2 linked regions of the Stegostoma tigrinum genome follow. The protein of the gene in region 1 binds, or shares a complex with, the protein of each later gene. Links are inferred from orthologs where the notes say so. Each region holds a gene or a part of one and is shown on either strand. Other genes may lie near its edges.

What was found. Proteins that work in one complex are often made in the same cells at the same time.
Region 2: tmem67 (region 1) and transmembrane protein 237-like share a complex: the UniProt entries of both Homo sapiens proteins name them as parts of the tectonic-like complex. The link is inferred for Stegostoma tigrinum from reciprocal best matches to the Homo sapiens genes TMEM67 and TMEM237.

The regions. Positions count from the first base shown.
Region 1 is NC_081358.1:90,652,755-90,660,342, reverse strand, and holds the start of tmem67 (meckelin), read right to left. Parts: upstream 3,022-7,588; 5' UTR 2,912-3,021; intron 2,686-2,911; exon of another isoform or gene 2,460-2,685; 5' UTR 2,360-2,459; coding exon 2,176-2,359; intron 1-2,175. Other genes in the region: rbm12bb (RNA binding motif protein 12Bb), read left to right, coding at 5,856-7,588. UniProt on the Homo sapiens protein: Required for ciliary structure and function. Part of the tectonic-like complex which is required for tissue-specific ciliogenesis and may regulate ciliary membrane composition.
Region 2 is NC_081360.1:20,407,595-20,414,598, forward strand, and holds the start of transmembrane protein 237-like, read right to left. Parts: upstream 3,075-7,004; coding exon 3,018-3,074; intron 1,708-3,017; coding exon 1,622-1,707; intron 552-1,621; coding exon 538-551; intron 1-537. UniProt on the Homo sapiens protein: Component of the transition zone in primary cilia. Required for ciliogenesis.

The DNA of each region.
Region 1 (7,588 bases):
ATGAGGAGAGCTTGACTAGGTTGGAATTGTTTCTGCTAGAGTTCAGATGAATGCGGGGTGGGGGGGGGGGGGGGGGGGGGTGGTGATCTCAGAGACTTATAAAATTCTAACTGGAGTGGGCAGGCTAGATGCATGTAGGATGTTCCCGATGGTGGGTGTGTCCAGAACCAGGGTTGCAGGATAAAGGTTCAGGGAAAACTATTTAGGGCAGAGAAGAGGAGAAATTTCTTCACCCAAAGAATGGTGAGCCAGGGAAATTCTAGTAGTTGGAGCCAAGACACTGAATGCATTCAAGAGGCGACTAGACATAGCACTTGGAACAAATGATATCAAAGGCAGAAAGCAGGATTAGACTATTGTGTTGGATGATCAGCCACGATTGTGAAGAATGGCACAGCAGGCTCAAGAGCTGAATGGCCTCCTCCTGCTTATATCTACTATGTTTCTATGACACATTTGTAGAGTGTCAGATACGTGGCAAACAATGTTCAATACAGAGAAGTTTGAGGTGATGCACTTTGGTCAGAAGAACATTGAACAACAACAACAACATGAAAGAGGGCTTACAATTCTAAAAGAGATAGCAGCAGAAAGACCTGAGTGTTTATGTGCACAGATCATTGAAGGTGGCAGAACAAGTGAAGAGAGCAGTTAATAAAACATACAGCCCTCTTGGCTTCATTAACAGGGGCACAGAATACAAGATGTACGGAGGTGATGTTGAACTTGTACAACATTTGTTCAACCATAGCTGAACAGTTATGGCACACAGAGAAAGCAGAGTTGAGAACTGATTTACAAACAAGGTTCCAGGAATGAGAGACTTCAGTGACGAGGGCATATTTCAAGAAGTTGAAGTGTTCTCCTTCGAGAGAAGGTGGCTGGAGGAAATTGCTAGAGGTTTTCAAAATCATGAGTAGGCTGCATAGAGCAAGTCGGGAGTTGCTGTTCCCACTTGTAAAAGAAAAAGGAATGAGAAGGCATAGATTTAAAGTGATACACAAACTAGGCAATGATCATGAGAAAATTTTATCAGATAGTTTACATATGGAATGAACTACCTGGAAATGCATTGTAGGCAGGTTCAATTGAGGTGTTTAAGACGATATTGTATGATTACTTGCATAAAAATGGTATACAGGGATGTGGGAATAAAGCAGGGATTGGCAACAGGTAATAGAAACAGTGTATGCATGATGAGCTAAATGGCCTCCTTCTGTACTATAACAAGTCTGTGATTCTGCTCCTACATCTCATGGTCTCAGTGCATGACTCCAGTGCAGAAGAAAAATAAATGGGCACCTCAAGACAGTTATGAAAAATCAAATGAAGACACCAGCCATTTTGCCTTTTGAGGCTAAAGAAGCATTCATTCATATGCACACCTTCATTGTGACATTGCTAAACGAATTAAATACACATATGAGGGAAGTGTTTAAGCATTAGAGATGATAGTGCTTCTCAAACATTTTCCCACTTGACCCTAACCAGGCAAGGATAGAAAATTGTCACAAATCAATGGCATGTGGGGTAATATGAGGGGAAAGGGAATCGTGACGGGGAAAGGACATTTGATCATTGCTGCCACAACTGGCTACCTGAAAATGTCAGCTAACACCACTGCCCAACCCACACTCCCTCCCCGGAACATTGGGAGGCCCTACTATTTGGCAGTTGCATCCAAAATGGAAAAGATCACTGTGTATATTGGGCCACCTGATCTGAGGATGCAAGGTCAGATTGCAGCAACAAGAGCAGTTAACTACTAAACCTTTGTTAAATACGTGACGGAGTGCTCGGCTGTCAACCTGATATCTAACACCATCAAACTCAAAATTTAAAAATGATCAACTGTCGTTTTTTTTTGGAAGAGTACCATCTTTTGCTAGTGTCCTAATTTAATCTCCAAAACATCCAGGTGAGAAAAAGTAGGCAACTGGAGTCAAATAATGGTGCTTAATTAATGAGATAGTATGCCCATGACGGGCTGAACGGCCTTTCCCTTCGGTCATTTTTTTGTGTCGTCGGGTAGGCTCCTCAACCAGTAAAAACCGATCGTTCTCCGCCTAGCCTACTTGCTGCTACGTAGCAAACGTTTTTCATGCGGAGTTATTTCTTGTCGCTAAACACCAACCAACCCCTGCCCTCAAAAACCATCTGACAAGTTTTACCCACCATCGCTACTTGACTGCTGGTCGGCGCCACACGGCCTGCACACCATACGAGAAATGTCAAAATACTCTCGCTTGGTGCATTGTTTCGCGGTTTGGAAAGGCATGGAAAGGATAACGGTCTGGGTAAACGGTAGCTGTAAGAGAAACAGCAGTAGCCAGCACTGGAACGCCTCCCCGATTCCCATTGCCACAGCCAACCGTCTCTTCTGCCCGCCCTCCGGCTCTCCCAAAATACACCGGGGCAGGCAGCAGGTCCTGACAGCTCCCCGCTTCAAAATAACTCCACTGGAAAAAAAGACAACGTTTGATCACTGGTCTAGATAAAAACAAGACTTAAATCGGCAAACCATACTGTAGAGTTCTGAACCTCAATCGACTTTGAGTTTGCCCAAGCAATGGGGCTTTGATTTATTATATTTGGATACAGAACTGTCAGGACTTCTCTCTCCGGAGGCGGCGGAAGCGCCATCGTGTCGGTGGCTAAGAGACCAGGCGACGACGGCGGCGGCGGGTTAGTTGGTGTAGACGGGCTACTGCCTCCCTTTAACCTGGCTTTTTCTGTCTTTCCAAAGGGGTGGGTGTTGGGAAGCAGCAGTTCGTATGCTGAGGCGGCGGGCGTCTTTCCCTTCTCCGGGTCGGGTGGAAAAACCGGGCCTTTGCTGGAGAGGAGCGAGTCCGAACTGGGGCGGGGGAGTTTGGAGAGTGGATGTAGTAAAAGTGCAGGCCCAGCCACTTACCTTATTGCCGCTTCGGTTTTTTTCCCTTTGGCTTGCAGCTCCCGCCCGCACGAACATTTTTGTTCACGTGGAGTGGGCTGCGTACTAAATAAATTGAATCCTTGCAGAGGTTACCTACGCCTGTTCCACCTTTGACCTGAATTGTCTGACCGTTTTATCTCGACGACCTGCGATTTAAACAAACGAAGACTTAAAAATACTGGGGGGTGGGGTTGGGAAACAAAACACTTTAAACGATTCTGCTTGGGAAACGGATTTATTTCATTCAGTATGGTATGAGTTTGAACAGTTCCCGATAACGTTGTCAAGCACCCTGCTTGTCTATTTGGCTCTATTACCAAACCCGCTATAGTGATTTTTGAATGTAGTTTTCTGAGGCAAATAAGCATTTCTGAATCAGAAACGGCTTTTCAAAGGAAAAGGCTGTATTATATATCGGTCTTAATTGTCTTAATCACTAATGATCGACATGGATATAGCCCGTCATTTTGATCTGGAAAAGCATTGAAGCGTTTTTGATACACTTCCTTGATTTGAATCCACTGATTTGCAGGCACTAAGCTGTTGAATTCCCTGCTGAGCCTCTCAACCATTTCATGCTGTTCAAAATGCTAATCAAAACTTGAATCTTTGACTTAATCATTCATCAGACATTTGATCATTTGCCTTGAGTTGTTTGGCATTAACCATTGTTTGATAACACTGGCCGGTTTCTCAGAATTATTGAATTATTTTTAGATTTATCATCGTTTCTAGGAAAGAAGAATTTAATTCTTGAAGCCGTTTATCAATTTTCAGCACTTGCTATTTCTGTTATAGTGGGAAAGTAATGCTCTCTAATCAAGGTCGTGGCCTGCTGTAAATGGATTTTTTTGTTATAGCAAAATTTTCACAAGTCAATGAAATGAATTTTCGGTGTGGAATAACTTTATTGAAATGTTTTTAATTAGATAAAGTTTGTTCAATGGCAGGTGCTTGAAATTTATAACTCGATAAACCCACCATTATTTTGATTTGAAATGGATTTATTACAGGTTTAATCTTGTTCTTTTGTTTTGCAGTCTGTAGAGTTGATTTTAACGAATCTGTTCAAGCATCTGCTTAAAAGAAACCTTTTTACAGGTTAGTGTCATACAAATGGTAGGTGACTGAAAATTGTCTAACTGGGATAAACTATAAACCTTTATTATTGTCGCATAACCATTTGACACTTTTGAGTTTCTTTATTGCAAATGTCACGATTCAGTAACGAATAGTGACTTTCAAACCAAAGGGAAAGTGAAAATAAACTTGTAATAAATGTATCATTTCTGAAGTAGCCATGCATGGGTTAAAATTTGTTAATGTGCACACCAAGCTGCAGAGCACTTGCATTTCCTGTGCATCACAATTTCTGTGTTTTAGTGTAGGTTTACATCTCATTGTGAAGCAGCAGTTAAGAAAAAACTGTGTTTATTGAACTAATAGATATATTTTATAATGCACAGTTAGTATTTAACTTTGTCCTGTGTAGCATATTAGATTTTTTTTCTGCTTGTAAATGAATTACGACAGTTGGCAACAAAATTTTGAATCTGATCTTTCTATTTTTACAATAGTTGAGTTGCTATATTTGTTCACTGCTGTTTAGCCCAACGCATTGGAGTAATCTAAACTTCTCAAAGTGCATATTCGGTTTTTTGCGACTGTTGCTTTAATTTTGCTTTATTACCGAATTATGTGCATTATTCCTATTGCCCATAGTTTTAACTAGTATTTAGACCAGGAATCTGTGTTCTGAACAGATGGTGAGAGTCTGTGTATACAAAGTGCAACTCCAGAACAATCACTTTCAATCTCCTTTATGGAACAAAAACATAAACGTAAGGACTATCACTTCAAAAGAATCAAGATTTGAAAAAAAAGAAGAATTCTAGTTGTATTAAATGCATACGCTATATTGTTAGCTGAACCTGCCTTTGAGTTGCTACAGAATCAAGTCTACAGCACCCGAGATCTTCGCGAAAACATTAATGTTGTGATATACCTGAAAGAAACATATTTTTAGATCAAGTAACTTCTTTCTCAAGTGGACTGCTGAATTATGTGCAGTAGTGGATTTTTCAGTTTGCCTGGAGTCATTTACAACATTTTGAAAATGCCCCAATGTGGATTTTAGGATTTTGCATTTGCTTTATATCTGGAGTCGTTTGCAGAGTTCAGAGCAATACGTGAAGGGAAAAGAAAATTTGAGTTACTAGTTTGAGGTGGTTTGTTTGTATTTTTTTTGAGAATACAATAAATAGGAATTGTCCAAGCCTGGAGTGAAGTTATTTGACGGGTGGATTACCATGTGGGAGAAAAGATGTGATGGACTCTTTATATAAAGAGCCATGGTTGCAGTTTGCAAAATAGACTGTATTTTGTTTTTAGCTAACTTCAGTTGAACTTTAACCCTAGGTCCTTTTTTACATTCCTTGTTTGGAGAAGGAATGATACAGTACTAATTAGCAGCACTTACTTGGACAGCAGTTTTGAAGTATTACTAGAACTTAGATCTATCATGTAATTTCGAGATGAATTCCACTGAGGTGCTGTGGCTGATTTAAAATTGAGGCATTTTTCATATTAAAGACAATTTCAGTCATCATCAGATCTTGTGGAGAACTGTTGTGGCTTGGAAGATATCTTCAGAATTTTCACAGACAACTTTAGTGTTTTTGGTGGTTTGAGAGTTGGGAGCTTTTGAGATTTGGTTATACTTTTTGAATTGAAGGTCAACGTTTAAACAAATTTGTGCAGAGTAAGAAGAATCTGTTTTATTCTTAAAATTAACATTTCTGACTTTTATTAATATTATATTTGGAAGTTAATGCAGTATCCAGAACCTTTTTTGACATAATTTGACGTCATCCTGTGTGCCTTTCTTGCCTGCAGGTAACATTTTCTATTGATAGAGTTCAGCATGGCTGTGGTCATCCGCTTGCAGGGGCTCCCAGTTTCTGCAGGAACCTTGGATATTCGTCACTTCTTCTCTAGATTAACCATTCCTGATGGAGGGGTGCATATAATTGGTGGTGAACTGGGAGAGGCATTCATTGTATTTGCTACAGATGAAGATGCACGGCTTGCTTTGATGAGATCGGGTGAATTTCTTAAAGGGAGTAGAACAAAGCTAACATTAAGTAGCAGAAACGAAATGCAGAGTACTATTGAGATGAGTCGTAAGAGATATGCACGTCCCAGTGGAGAAACATCCAGTTACGGAAGGTCGGGATTCAGCAATTCTGGCACAGGTGGCTTAGGTAGTATGTCTTCTACACTAGCTGAAAACTTAGTTGCAGCAATGCAACATGAAATTAATAGGGATGCCTTTCATCCTGGTGAAATTGGAAGTTCTGACATGAACAGCTATGGTACTCGTATGGATCCAATGATGAGTGGCAATATGTCGACAATGGCCTTATCTTCTCCACAGAACATTGCAGTTGCTCCTAGTTCCTCAATGTCTGCATTATTTGGAATGACCTCTGGAGCAATGAGTGATAGTTTGGATAAATTTAATGGCTCTGGGTCAATGGATCGTTTTGCTGATTCAGCTTATAATCAAAGGAGAGAGCAAGGAGCTTTTCATACTGATGATGTTTATTTGCATCTGCAAGGCATGCCATATTCTGCAGGAGAGCTGCAAGTGAGAGAATTCTTCCATGGTTTACAAGTGGAAGCAGTTCGTCTACAAAAGGATTACCGAGGTCTGAATAATGGAGAGTGTTTTGTACGGTTTGCCAGTTCTTGGGATGCAGCTGAGGGACTAAAGCGTCACAAAAAATACATGGGGCAAAGGTTTGTCGAGGTGTATCGAGCTACAGAACTAGACTGGATTTCTGGGGGATCTGATTTGTTTGTAGATGATAGACATTTGGATCTAAACCGACACAATCGAGGTCGTTCCCCTCATCGTGAAAATAAACATTTCCATTCTCAAACTCGATCAAGGTCACCTCGAAGGCACAGGTCTCGATCTTATTCCCCTCAAGATCAAGACTATTGGATGCAGTTAAAAAATACACCATATAGTATTTCAAAAAAAGATGTACGAAATTTCTTTAATGAACTAAACATAACAGATGACCAGATTTACCTTGTAGAAGATCCTCATGGTAAAAATACTAAGGAATGCTTTGTCAAGTTTAGAAATGATGCTGAGATGCGTAAAGCTTTAAGATACCATAAGACATACATTGCAAACCGTGCAGTTTATCTATATCCGCTCACTAAAAAAGCTATGATAGAGTTGATGGACACTATTAAGAAGCAAAGATCAAGAGAAAAATCTGCCTATAGAATTGAAGAAAAAATGTACCCGTCTAGAGAAGGAGCGCATTCCCCAAGATTGTATATTTATGCTCGTAATCTTCCATTTGATATCTCCAAAGCTGAGATCCATAAATTCTTTGAGGGATTTGGTGTTGCTGAACATGGGATCCGAATACTTGTTGATAGTAATGGCATTGGACTAGGGGAGGCTCTGGTCAAGTTCAAGTCTGAAGATGAAGTACTAAGTGCTGAGCGATTATATGGTAAAAAGCTTGGAGGAAGAGAAGTTGTGCTAAAGGTGGTTACTTCAGAAGAGGTGTTTGAACTTGGTATCGCTTCTATGCATGAGAGAGCCAAAGGTCAAAAGGAAAGTGACTACTT
Region 2 (7,004 bases), on another chromosome or scaffold:
TAACATCTCTGAACAGGGTGATTTTAAAAAAAAATTGGGTGAGAACTTGACTGGGTGTATTTACATAGAAGGAACATGTAATCAATGGTGGTGAAGTTGTCAGTGGCAAATCAGAATAAAAATCTGACGAGAAAAGCATATGCTGGACTCATCTACTATTTAAAATAAACAAATTAAACAAAATTAGTGTCAACAACCCTGAAGGCACACTAACTAAAGTAAAAACTCTGAAGGAAGCTTACTAAATTCAGATTAAAAGATCGTTTTGCAGGATAATGATGCCTCTCAATCTGGTCCCTGTCTAAACAGCGTTCAATATCTGGTGTTCAACAACCATGATTATTGCATGCAGTTCTGTTCTTAGCTGGTGCACAAATTATCTGCAACCATCTGCAGCAATAGCTGGACAGAAAACAGGTGCAGCAGTTCCTTTGTCCACCAGTTATTAAATAACCAATTCACTTAACAAGAACTGTCAATAAAATAACAAGTCATCACAGACATCTGTGGGAGGACTGGTTAAAATTAAAGGCTTACCTTTGACTTTGGTGCTTCAGGTCCATCAGCCAAGAGAAAGAAAATAAACAAGGTAAGCATACAGACACAGTGTAAAACATTAACTAAACGAAAAACCAACAAATGTCCTCCTTTATCAGAGAACACCTCAACTCACAGGTCTTGTCTATATTCATCAATATAACTTATTCAGAATATCACCATATCATTCCATCCCGTGTCCTTCCAGGTGCTCATCTAAATTCTCCTTGGCCCCTCCAGTTCAATGTTTCTCCCTATGTGTCATATACCACAACTGGATTAGGTACTGAGCAAACAGGGACTTTTGATTTTCCTTCTTACTCCTAAGTTCATCATTTTCTAACCATTCCCCTGGGATTTGAATCTTAACAGATGTAAACAACTGCACTCTATCAACTTTTTCAATTATCTTCACAATCTTGAAAACTTGAACCAGAGCATCTCAAAACATCACCTTTTGCTTCTCCCTTTGAAAGACAATAACCTCTTACTACAGCAAGTACTACACATCTCCAAATAGATCCAAGACAGCAATTCTCAGAGCAACAACATTATTTTCCTTGCATTTGAGCTACCTGCTAACGGAACCCGTAGCCTTTTCTTTCTTCTGCAACTAATAGGATGGTCAGACATAACTTCCATTTATCTCCAAAAGGAGGCTGAGTCATTATGCTGGAGTTATAATTTGTCATCAACAACAGCAAAATATTTCCCAGTGATTACAGTTTGGATTTCTGGCTTCTTGAATTCTCTGCCTGGAGAGAAATTCAACGCACATGCAGCAGGACCTGCAACACAGGCAGGATAAGGAGGCAGGTTGCAAATCTGCCTCAGTCAAAACAAGGATTAAACCCCATGCTGTTGGCATCAAGCACGCCGATCTGTCCTTTCCAAGGAGTGCACACTGGCGTGAGAACATGTATTTTTATGTATATGATGTAGTCTGGAGTTACAGACAATGACTACAGAGTCTCTATTTCTTTCCATCACACAGCTTTCGAGCAATACCATACAACCTTTGTGCTGTCTGTCAGAAGCATATATGGATTGATACGCAACCGATTTGGCCAAATTATAAAATTACCTTCTTTGGCCATTGAGTCCTGGAGTCTGATTTGAGCCTGGAGCTCCTGGCCCAAAGGCAGATATGTTGCCCACTGGACCACAAGTCTTCCATGAGTTACCACATACTGAAATTTTAAATTCCTTGCATCTTTCTCTTCTTCAATCCTGAAGCCTCTGATTCTTGTTGTGGTACAAGGAATCATGGTTACAGACTGGCCAATCTTGTCTCATCGAAGTGGTAATACAAGCTGGTGGCACAGTCAACTATCATACAGTCAACCTTACATAGCATCCAGCTGGGATTAACAGATGGACAGTTAGAAACAGGAATCATGAATCATGCTTGATTTCCCTGCTGCCACCAACACTAGGCAAAAATATTTATAACAACACCCTCCTGTTGCACATAATGGCAATGCTCCAGGTGATCCTGCAACTACCAGAAACTGAGGTTGTGATCTTCTACGTAACTCCACAGTCATATTTTTAAATTCATTTAACAGATCCAGGTTTTGCGGGCTGAATATTGGCCAAACCTAACTGCCCTTGAGAAAGTATGGTTGGCTGTCTTATTGAAACACTACTGTCCATGGTGTTTAGATGCTGCCAAACTATACTCGTGGATGTAAGTTCCAGGATTATAATAATGGTTTCCTCTCATCAAATTCCACCACTAGTATAAAGAATATTCAAGTTCAGTCACAGGAAAGAATTAATGTATTCAACTATCTTTGAGCAAAGGGAAAAGATACCAAATCACAAATGTAGAAAAAATACATTGTTGTATTTCATATCACAGAACTGAACTCCCAACCCATGACCCAACAGCCAGCCCACTTGTCCAGCTAGCCCACAATTATAACCTGCTTCCCGGCTCGCCAACACCCTGCTCATTATCCATTCACCCAACACCTGGCCCACTGCCCAGCTAGTCACCACCCAGCCTGCTACCCACCTAACACATAGCTCACAGCAAACTAAGACTCAGCCCACTCTTCAGCTAACTAACTTCAGCTAGCTTCCAACCTATGCAATACACAGTGCATTCCTAACCCACCTCACTATCTACCTAACCAATACCTATCATGTAGCAACACTACCCAATAGTTCAGCCATTTCAACTCAGCATCAGTACTTAACAGCCCTAATACTAAACACAGTCTCAGTCTCACAACCCAGCAGCCTGACCGCCAAGCCAATCCTACCAACGCACTCCAACAGCCCAGGACCAGCCATTGACATGCTACTCAGTGATCCTGTATTCTGTTCCACTGCCCAACCTCCACTAAAATTAGCCACCCACCACAGATCTAAAATTTACCAAAATATTTACCATCACAGTATCACATTTTTGTTACTCTCCAGTTGCAGAGGGCAGTGACACACAACTGTAGCTCCATTCTTAGCAGTCTTACCTTGGCACTGGTGGAAGTGCACGTGGTGGGCGCTGAAATAAAACCACAGAAAGTCATCGTCAATATCAAGGATGACACCATTACACAGTATGCATGCCACTGTCAATTCCTGACTCAAATCAACCATCTGAAGGCTGTCGGGGGCATTCTGTCACAGTTCCTGACACAATCATTATGACACCCCGAGGCCACAATCCAGGCTGATATTATCAAAGACGTGCTTTTCCAGATGTAACATGAAACTGCAGCTCTATTTGCCCTCAGAAGGGCATAAATGATCCTGTTTGAATAAAGGAGCCCTTTCTTGTTACAGCCAAAATTTATTATTGAAACAACAGGTCCATAAACAGTTTTTCTGATCGTATATTGCATTTTTTGTTTGTGGAATTTTAGTGAATATTACCCCATACTTGAAAAAGATAGTAGGTTGTTTATGAAAATTTTGAGGCCGTCTCAATAAAAGAAAGGAACTGTATAAATACAAACTTTCACTTTCTTCAAAATTGATTTGATAAAAGAAAACTGCTGATAAATTGGGCTGAGAGAGATAGAAGGGACTGCCGATGCTGTAGAATCTTGAGATAACAAGGTGTAGAACTGGATGATTACAGCAGGCCAAGCAGCATCAGAGGAGCAGGAAAGCTGACGTTTCGGGTCTGGGCCCTTCTTCAGAAAACAATGTGCTGGCAACAGTTCATTGAGAATAATGCAAGGGTAAGAGTGTGTTATTCACAATGAACTCTCTAAGTTCTGCTATAAACATCTCTCACGCCAGCACTCAAAATAAAAACAGAACAAAAAAATGAAATCCACACAAACCCTGTCAGCACGTGAATAAAGGTTAGTGTTTCTTGTACCATCAAGTGGGATTTACCGTGTCACAAATATGAAAATGATTTTCCCTTTCCAGATCAAACTTAAACTCTAGCTTCTCACCGCTTGCTTCTTCATGGTGTCTGTGATCTGCGAATCTCAGTAAATGGGTCAACAGTGACCTTACTTCAAACTAATCCAACATTAAATCCTTCACAAAGTGGATTAGCTCGTAGACTATCCATATGACAGCTGTGACGGGGGCAGGATTTGGAAATCTTGTCACCAAATGTAAAACACAACATGATGAATATTCTCCCTCTTAAAGCTGGCACTGTAGGGATGGCCCTTCACTGTCAGTGGAACAATAATGCTTGAAGAAAGTGAAGGGATTGGAGATTGCTTTCTAACCATTCTCCTGCCAGGCAAATAGAATCCCACCAAGGTCTTCATGACACTAAACTGAGCTGATTAATAAAACCAATTCTTAACTGATTCCAGTCTCTTCCACAATATACTAGAGCTACCATCATCATCTGACCTGTTGAAAATGTTAGGCTTTTTTCCTGGTAACTCAATTGGGATGACAAGATGTCATTTGCCAATATAGACCAAAACATTTCTTGTTCAAACCCCAGGTGATGACATTAGTCATCTCTCAGTCAGGACAGCAGCTGCTTACATTTGAGCTCCGAAACCTCGCCTTGTGATGAACTCAATGGCTTGGGGAGGCAGCAGGGTAATTAGCCAGGATTCCCCTGTCAATGTAAGGTAATGACTGCATTGGAATGTCTAGGAGAGCCAGTCAGGGCTCAACAGGTGATTCATGGCAGATGGAGACACAGAATGGCAAAGTGGCCAGTGCCAAGAGAGTGAAGATGAAACAGATCCTTCAGGAGGCATGTGGAGACAATGCAAGAATTCAAACATTATTCTGGCTGACTCAAGGCAGAGCAAGATTGTGATAAAAGCATTAAATTTGCTCACGAAATCCATAAATTCAAATTCTCATCACTCCAAAAGATGTTGTTTCCTAGACATTTTTCTATTCTCACTTTCAGTTGAGAATTCATTGGCTCAAATAATCCAATGGCCAGATAATCATTGATGCAGCTTGGACAGGAGTTGCATGTCATGATCATGCAGAATACCCAAGCAGCTGAATCAGTGGAAACTGTCCAGGAAATGGAATTTTTCAATACGCAATTCCCCTGTACTAGAAAACCTCAAAGAGTCCACTAATCGAAATTTCAATAAAAACCAAGAGAACTGTACATGCTGTAAATCAGAAACAAAAACAGAAATTGCTGGAAAAGCTCAGCAGGTCTAGCAGTATCTGTGGACGGAAATCAGAGTTAACATTTCGGGTTGAGTGACCCTTCCTCAGAACAATCTCACTTAAGCTGATAATTATCCAGGAAATGTTAAAAGATTAAAAACCTAATCCAACACCTGGATGAATATTAAGATGACTCCTCATTGACTTCCCAAACTACATCACCCTGGACTCCTGACAACCACAGCCTGACTCGATTAAATGCATTCTCCCCAACACTGCCATTCTGACCAAGCTCCGTAATCCTGAAAGATTTGAGATCGGAATTGCCAGCAAGAAATGTGGAGCTCAGTCCTAATGGAAGAAAGTAGGAACTGAGTGGCAATCTGACTGTAATTTGCACTCCTTGTTACATGTGGGTTGTATATCTTTCCTACCATTCATGTTAAGCTATCCAGTTCATCGATACAAAATAAAAACCGAAAGAACTGCAGATGCTGTAAATCAGGAACCAAAACAGAAGTTGCTGGAAAAGCTCAGCAGGTCTAGCAGCATCTGAAAAGAAAAAAAATCAGAGTTAAAGTCAACAGACCCAAAACGTTAACTCCAATATTTTTCTTCACAGATGCTGCCACACCTGCTGAGCTTTTCCAGCAACTTCTATTTTGGTTCATTGTTGTATTTAACGTCAAAAATAAACTCTAACTTCTGATTTATCAAAGTTCTGACATGAATCTTTCTGAAACAAATTATTAAACGTGCATAATCCTGCCCCCACTATCTTCTCCCTGTTTTCTTTTTAAAACATGTGGACGTTCACAACAGCGGTCAAGCGTCATAGTCTCAGAGCTTGATTATTCACAGAATTGTTATGATGCAGAAAGAGACCAATTTGCCCTCGAACTCTTCGAATAACATCACTCCCTTGTGCCAGTCTCATGATTTTTCACGATACACTTGCAAACTATTACTATTAAATAATCATCCAATGTCATCTTGAATGTCTCGTGAACCTGCCTCTGACAGACTTCTAGGTGGTACATTCCATACCCTAACTACTCGCTGCGAAAACAAGTATTTTTTTCCTCTCAACACTTAAATCTCTCGTTCACGTTCCTTTTACAGGCTTCTCCTTATCTACTCCATCCTGACCGCTCATGATTTTGAAACTTTCCATCGAATCTCCTCTCAGGCCTCTTCTTTCCGAGGGGAACAGTCCCCAACTTCTTCGAACTATCCTCAAAGTAAAGTTCCTCGTTCCTGGAACTATTCTTATATATCACTTCTGCACTCTCCCCTTAATACTTACTTAGTATTTCTCACGTTTGATGCAACAGCACCCCCTTCCCCTTTAGCAAGAAGCCATCAGCAAACTAGAGTGGGGGTCAGACCCCGGGGTACTGAGGCCAGTAGGCACCACAGTCCGCCCCCATGGCCATGTGGTGCCGGCTCGTGTGGGATGGGTGTGAGGATGGGAAGGTTCTGTGGAAGGTAGTGTGGGGGGGTTTATGGGAAGAAAAAATAAAAAACAATGGAAGCCACTACCCCCTGGAGACCCCAATAAACCTGAGAAAAACTATAAAAAAATGGAAAAAAATGGAGAAAAAATGGAGAGAGAGAGAAAACAAAATGAACAAAAATGGAGAGAGAGAGAAAAAAATGGAGAGAGAAAAAAATGGGAAAATAATGGAGAGAGAAAAAAATGGAGAGAGAGAGGAAAAAACATGGAAAAAACAATGGAGAGAGAGAGAGAAAAATAATGGAGAGAGAGAGAGAAAAAATGGAGAGAGACAAAAATGGAAAAAAGATGGAGAGAGAAAAAAATGGAGAGAGAAAAAAAATGGAGAGAGAAAAATGGAGAGAGAAAATATGGAGTGGAATAAAATGGAGAGGAAAAA